2 linked regions of the Drosophila melanogaster genome follow. Changing the gene in region 1 together with any one later gene gives a genetic interaction. Each region holds a gene or a part of one and is shown in the gene's direction. Other genes may lie near its edges.

Region 1 (4,102 bases):
AAACAATGCATTAGCATCAACTGATTTAAGTTCTGAAAAAAAAAAATTTCCATGTGCTATTAACTTGAGGCAAAGTATTACATACAACACAGTTAAGTTAATATAACAAAAAATATATATATTTTCAATAAACTGTGCAAAACGCAGACAGATTATTCATAGCCGTTCATATTATTTGGCTAGCGACAGTCTGAAAATTGCACAGATAGCATTTCGGTCTAAATTGGCTACAATAGATAAGAGAAGCTAAAAAAAAAGAATAAATTTTACTCTGCACCCAGATAATTTAGAAACGTAGATATTAAGGTTGTAAGTAATAGCAACTATGTTTGCTCACAAAGGGTTAATAAACTGGTATTTAATAAAAAGCCGCGAAACTTAAGTATAGTTCAATACTTTGCGTATTTTTTCGCGCCTAAATATTCATTTATATTCATATGATCATTCACAGGATTTTTAATGTAAATGTAAGTATTTATGGTTACATATGTCACCTATGTCCGCTCCAAAAGGTATAGGGCAACTGGTTTGGCAGCCTGCCATGCAGCAACAACAAACAATACAGATTCGCACTCTTTCTCTCCACGTGAGTGAAACTCTCTCTCGCTGGTTGAGATTGGCTGATGCAACACTTGCCACACGTTGCAACAGCTGTTTTAGTCTGGCCCAGCTGATTCGTATTGTTGGCTTGTTGCCAGAGACTGCGAAAATCTCTTGGCAACATGTTGCCACAACTTTTGGAAAACTCATAGTGTTGTTAAACATGTTGGGCGAAATTTTCACACCGGTGCAGGGCAAAAAGGGGGTGGCTTAAACTGTAGCTGGCTGGCTGGCTTAAATTAGCCGGCCGATGATTCATTTTGGGGGTTGTCCACTTACATAAGATGAGCTCACCCAATGTGAAAACTCTTTAGTCGCTGGAAGAAACTGCGCATTTCGACACAGAAAAGCCTAAACAAGCAGAACGAACATTTGTTTTGTAGATTTATAATTTTTCAAAACATACAATCGCATTGCACTTTGCGATTGGCCTTGACACCCTGACGTGGTTCCATTTGGCGACACTGTTCCTGCTTTTATCTTCTCCATGGCGCAAGATAAAATCAGAAAGTACAACGTGTTGATCACCTAATGGCCAGAGTCATGCAAACCAAACTCTTGGTGATTTAAATCTATTTCCATGTCTGTCACAAAAGAATACTGCTTATTATTATATGGCGGGTTATAATTTACCAAAGTACACAAAATGTTACAATACAATACAGTTGAATATATACTAGTTAAATGTACATATGTTTTATAACAGCTCATTGGCTGTGTTTTAATGGTTTATAAATGTAAAGTGTTTTTAAAGCATTTTAAATTTCAAATGAAACATTTTTTTTGTGGAAGTGCTGTTTTTTATACTGTTCAGATATATCTCACTGATATTTATGATGATTCTTTAATCGTATGACTGTACAGTACCCTCACACTTTAGTTCTCTGTATGGTGTGTTGACTGTAGTCAAACCGCTCCCAAAGAAAGTCGGGCAAAGTGAATGTACCTAGGCGCGCTCCCGCTGAGCATTTGTTGTGTTGATGAGATTAAAACTGGAACTGGGAATGGAATTGAATGCGTCTTAAACGGAGAACGGAGAAATGAGAGGCTTTGTGGACACTTAAAAGTATGCGGCTCTCTTGAGCCGTACTTCAGTACGCTGACGTCGACTGAAGAATCGCTTTGTTCTGCGCTCTCAAATATATTTAATTTGGATTTGGAACTGGATTTATGTCAACATGCAATTTCTGCAGTGGATTTTTACACTATGGCTAATTGCTGGTTGCTCCGCTGGCCCGCAGAATGTCCTGCTGCTTCTGGCTGACGATGCCGGCTTCGAATCGGGCGCCTATCTGAACAAATTCTGCCAAACTCCCAATCTGGACGCACTGGCAAAACGCGGATTGCTTTTCAACAACGCCTTCACCTCGGTAAGCAGTTGCAGTCCCAGTCGCTCGCAGTTGCTCACCGGCCAGGCTGGTCACTCCAGCGGAATGTATGGACTCCATCAGGGCGTGCACAACTTCAATGTTCTTCCGGATACCGGATCGCTGCCCAATTTAATCCGTGATCAAAGTGGCGGACGGATCTTGAGCGGCATCATTGGCAAGAAACATGTTGGGGCCGCCAACAATTTCCGTTTCGATTTCGAGCAAACAGAGGAGCAGCATTCCATCAACCAGATTGGCAGAAACATCACCCGGATGAAGGAGTATGCCAGGCAGTTTCTCAAGCAGGCCAAGGACGAAAAGAAACCCTTCTTCCTGATGGTCGGCTTCCATGATCCCCATCGTTGTGGCCACATCACCCCGCAGTTTGGAGAATTCTGTGAGCGTTGGGGCAGCGGAGAGGAGGGAATGGGCAGCATACCCGACTGGAAGCCCATCTACTACGATTGGCGTAACCTGGACGTGCCCGCCTGGCTGCCCGACACGGATGTAGTGCGTCAGGAGCTGGCTGCTCAGTACATGACCATCTCGAGGTTGGATCAGGGAGTTGGTCTAATGCTGAAGGAGCTAGAAGCAGCCGGCGTGGCAGATCAGACACTCGTGATCTACACCTCCGACAATGGACCACCGTTTCCCGGAGGCAGAACCAATCTCTACGAGCACGGCATACGATCGCCCCTGATCATTAGCTCTCCCAATAAGGAGGATCGTCATCATGAAGCCACTGCTGCCATGGTCAGTCTTTTGGATATATACCCCAGTGTAATGGATGCTCTTCAGATTCCCCGACCGAATGACACCAAAATCGTTGGCAGATCGATACTCCCAGTACTGCGGGAGGAACCTCCGATCAAGGAGAGCGATTCGGTGTTCGGTAGTCACAGTTACCACGAGGTGACCATGGCCTATCCCATGAGAATGGTGCGCAATAGGCGCTACAAGCTTATCCATAATATCAACTACTGGGCAGACTTCCCCATCGACCAGGACTTTTACACTTCACCCACATTCCAGCAGATATTGAATGCCACTCTCAGGAAGCAAACTCTGCCATGGTATCGTTCCTTGTTGCAGTACTACCAGCGACCCGAATGGGAGCTGTACGACATTAAGACGGATCCCTTGGAGCGTTTCAATCTGGCCGATAAGGCCAAGTACAATGGCACCCTGAAGCAGTTACGCGAGCAACTGTTCGACTGGCAGGTAGCCACCAAGGATCCCTGGCGATGTGCTCCGCACGCTGTGCTCCAGGAGCAGGGCGTCTACAAGGATCAGCCCGTCTGTCTGACCTTGGGCCACGAGGCGTTGCAGCGGCCCAAGCGCAGGATTCTCGGTCAGTATGAGGAGTATGTGGTCTTCTCGTAGGTCTGACTAAGAGTATTCAATAGATTGGGTGTGTTGTCTTATCGCATGTCCAATGGTTGATAACTCAACCATGCCAATGTTTTTCACTTCACATGCCGTTACAGTTGCGGTCATACAAATAGGAATTGCAAAAGGTAGAAATGATAATATTATATTAATGTATATTCTTATTAAAATAATAAAAAAAAAGTAACATACAATACTTTCAATAATAAACTTTGTTTAACTTTGAAGCGAGCTGCTAATCTTTAAGCATGGCTAATAAAAAGATCAATGTTTTCAAAAGCAATGGTAATCATAAGAATTAAGCATTTGTTTAGAGTATGTACATATGTATGTTCTTTGAACAAATTTCCAAGTTTACATTAAGGGAAAACTTTAATTGCTTTTTACAAACAAACAGATAAAAATATATTGCCTTGATTTTCACCTGCGCAATGCCAAAAAAATAGCCAACAGAATTGGCAAAGAAAGAAGACTGAAGATTCCCCCACTGACTGAATTGGTTGCATCAGCCCAGACTGGCAAACACTCGTGTCCTGGCAGCATGACCTCACCCACTTTTTGGACTGGAGGCGTGGGCATCAGGGGTTGGATGCTGCGTCACGTTTCAATGTCATGCCCACTGGGTCAGTGGGATAGGGGAGGGGAGGGTGTGCTGGCGGCTGCCTGTGTCTGTGTGTGGAAAATCGAAAATTTCAATGCTTCTGTTGTAGTTTATTGGTGGCGCCTCCGGATTCCCACATCGC
Region 2 (3,287 bases), on another chromosome or scaffold:
AAACACTTTCGATGGACTATGGCGGAACCAACTTCTTCGTACTCCAAGCTGTCGATCCACATGTTTTGGAAGCTCGTGAGTGAGGCCAAGACGGAACCACCCGTCCAAACGGAGAATCTGCGGTCTGGACTAGCGTTAACCTTGATTCGGATGGATGGTGGAGCCATTTCGGTTAGGTCTTGCAGGAATCTATGCTCGATGTTACGAAACATGGTCGTACCGCCAGAGAGAACAATGTTCGCATACATATCCTTTCGCAGATCCATGTCGCAGTTGGTTATCGAGTGATGGGTGGCCTCGTGGATGCCCATCACCTCCTGACCCAGCAAACTGGGTTGGAAGAGAGCCTCCGGGCAGCGGAATCTCTCGCAGCCCAAAACGATTTTCTGCCCATCTGGCAGCTCATAGGTTTCCACCTTTCCGTGGAGATCCATTTCCTTGGCATAGTTCATTGACACATAGCAGAGTTTCTCCTTGATTTCACGCACGATTTCCCGTTCAGCAGAGGTGCCCATTGTAACGCCCCTCTCCAGAAGCAGCTTGCATAGATAATCGGTGAGGTCCCTGCCGGCCAGATCAACTCGTACACAGGCGTGGGGCAGGGCAAATCCTTCGTAGATCGGTACCGTGTGCGTCACACCATCACCCGAGTCCACCACAATGCCCACAGTACGCCCGGTGGCGTAAAGTGAGAGCACAGCCTGAACTGCTACATAAAAAGCTGGCACCTGAAAGTGTTCGAACATAATCTCTGTCATCTTCTCTCTATTCTTCTTCGGATTCAGTGGGGCTTCGGTGAGTAGAGCCGGCAAATCCATTGGATCCGCCCGCAAGAGCTCGTACGTGTGCTGCCAAACCATCTCCATTTCATCCCAGTTCTTGACCATTCCGTGCTCGATGGGATACTTTAGGGTTAGTATTCCCCTTTTTCGGGCTGCCGCCTCGCCAATAACACTATCACCGATCACGGAATCCAGCAGGACGTTCAGGTGACGAGGTCTGCCCACAATCGACGGGAAGACAGCACGGGGAGTATCTTCTGGGGAGAATCCAGCCTTACATACTCCAGAGCCGTTGTCAATAACCACTGCGGCGTGGTGTGAATTACTATCTACCTCGCTGCTCATGTTTCCAGGAGAGGTTGCTGAACGAATCATGGTCAAATCATAAAATCTTTAGCTTATTTAAGCAACTTACGTAAATGTAGATATTTGTGAAGAATGTTCTGTGCCCGTTTATTTGTTATATCGATTTTGATTCGGGAAGGTATTTGAAATGTAGACATGTTGTGTGCTGTGTTCCAGTCGGATTTTTAAACTTATGACGTTAATTTCATGGTTTATTTCCAATTTAGCGCCATGACATACAGAGGCCAAAAATCGATTAATTCAAGTATCAATCGAATGGATGCAGTCGATACGTAAGCAGCTAAAATATGCTAATAGTCACTAAAGTAGTATTTAAACATAAGAAATATTTAAGAAATCCTCAATATGATTTGAATATGTTTCAGTGCAATGTTTCAATTAAAAATAGTTTTTAATTTCTTTTAGTTTTACTATTTAACTTCAATATATATAAGTTGATCTCACATCACTGACTGATTGGGGTCTTTCGATATTTTCTCATCTGCTCATCTCTAGCAGTAAATTGTTCAAATAGAACAAGCGAAATAACGAGAACGTAAGCCTTGTTTTATTTGATATAAAATCTGATATCGGGACTTAGCCTTATTAGCAGTCGAATAAAACGCAGATATGTTCGTGGCCCGTAAAATTTCGCAAACTGCAAGGTAAGTTGCGAAAAAAAGTATGCCCAAATCGATGCCGGCTGATTACATAAATAGCAACAAATGGCGACCCTGATCTTGAGGACATTATAAAACAAGACACACTTAACCCTTTGCAGCCTGGCGGTGCGTGGCAAGCACACCCTACCGAAGCTGCCCTACGACTATGCCGCCCTGGAGCCTATCATCTGCCGGGAGATCATGGAGCTGCATCACCAGAAGCACCACCAGACCTACGTCAACAATCTAAATGCCGCCGAGGAGCAGCTGGAGGAGGCCAAGTCGAAGAGCGACACCACCAAGCTGATTCAGCTGGCTCCTGCCCTGCGTTTCAATGGCGGTGGCCACATCAACCACACCATCTTCTGGCAGAACCTCTCGCCCAACAAGACCCAGCCCAGCGATGATCTGAAGAAGGCCATCGAGTCGCAGTGGAAGAGCCTCGAGGAGTTCAAAAAGGAGCTGACCACGCTGACCGTGGCGGTCCAGGGCTCCGGCTGGGGCTGGCTGGGCTTCAACAAGAAGTCGGGCAAACTGCAACTGGCCGCCCTGCCCAACCAGGATCCCCTGGAGGCCTCCACCGGCCTGATCCCGCTCTTCGGCATCGATGTCTGGGAGCACGCCTACTATCTGCAGTACAAGAACGTGCGTCCCTCCTACGTGGAGGCCATCTGGGACATCGCCAACTGGGATGACATCTCGTGCCGCTTCCAGGAGGCCAAGAAGCTCGGTTGCTAAGCACAGCCGGCGATTGCGTATGTTTAATCTATAAGCATCTGCGGATCGGAGATCCTAAATTGTAGTCTAAGTTGCGGCTAATAAATTGGTACCAGCTAGCAACTAATTTTTATAATTTTTATGAATGGGAATAAAACAATTTAAAACATAATTTCCGAAGATAACGCTTCACAAAGGCGTATTGAAACTATTACTTCATTGAGGAATTAAAAAATATACATATACCTATTCATATTTTTTATTTTTATCAATTTTATTACGCTCCAAAAAAATTAATTTTTATATTAAATTAAAATATCGCAAATACTGTAAATGTTTTACAACACTGCCGCCCATGGTGCCATCTCTAGCAAATCAGCTGTGCGCGAGCCAAACAAAAACAAAACAAAAGTCAGCCTGCCGCGAAATCGGGGGAGGAAAATTGACATTTCCACCGAGTTTTCCCGAACTTGCGTGCGCGCAGCTGCAAACAATTTTCCAGCACGCGTATCCGAATGGTGGAACAAATGGCCAGCCGCTGGCAGAGTCGTTTGTTGCCTGTTCGCGTAATGGCCATCCTCGAAAATCGCCCGGAGTTTTGAAATCGAGAGACCAGTACGAAACAAAGGAAAATCATTTAATTTCCTGAGGGCGGTGACGAATGAAAAACATACAAAATAAACCACTTGAGTGCAATAATAATTTAATAAAGAACTGTGATTGTGAGTGTGTGAGGAGAACTGTTGACGCCCATCAAGGAATTTAACTTCTAAACTTCTAA

What was found.
Region 2: of Sgsh (region 1) and Sod2, changing one enhances a phenotype caused by changing the other (phenotypic enhancement), as found in Drosophila melanogaster (one study listed by BioGRID).

What each region holds. Positions count from the first base shown.
Region 1 is NT_033777.3:18,910,511-18,914,612, reverse strand, and holds Sgsh (N-sulfoglucosamine sulfohydrolase), read left to right. Parts: upstream 1-1,690; 5' UTR 1,691-1,778; coding exon 1,779-3,353; 3' UTR 3,354-3,560; downstream 3,561-4,102.
Region 2 is NT_033778.4:16,772,260-16,775,546, reverse strand, and holds Sod2 (superoxide dismutase 2 (Mn)), read left to right. Parts: upstream 1-1,631; 5' UTR 1,632-1,757; coding exon 1,758-1,792; intron 1,793-1,908; coding exon 1,909-2,527; 3' UTR 2,528-2,762; downstream 2,763-3,287. Other genes in the region: Arp53D (Actin-related protein 53D), read right to left, coding at 1-1,144, 1,198-1,285. UniProt on the Drosophila melanogaster protein: Destroys superoxide anion radicals which are normally produced within the cells and which are toxic to biological systems.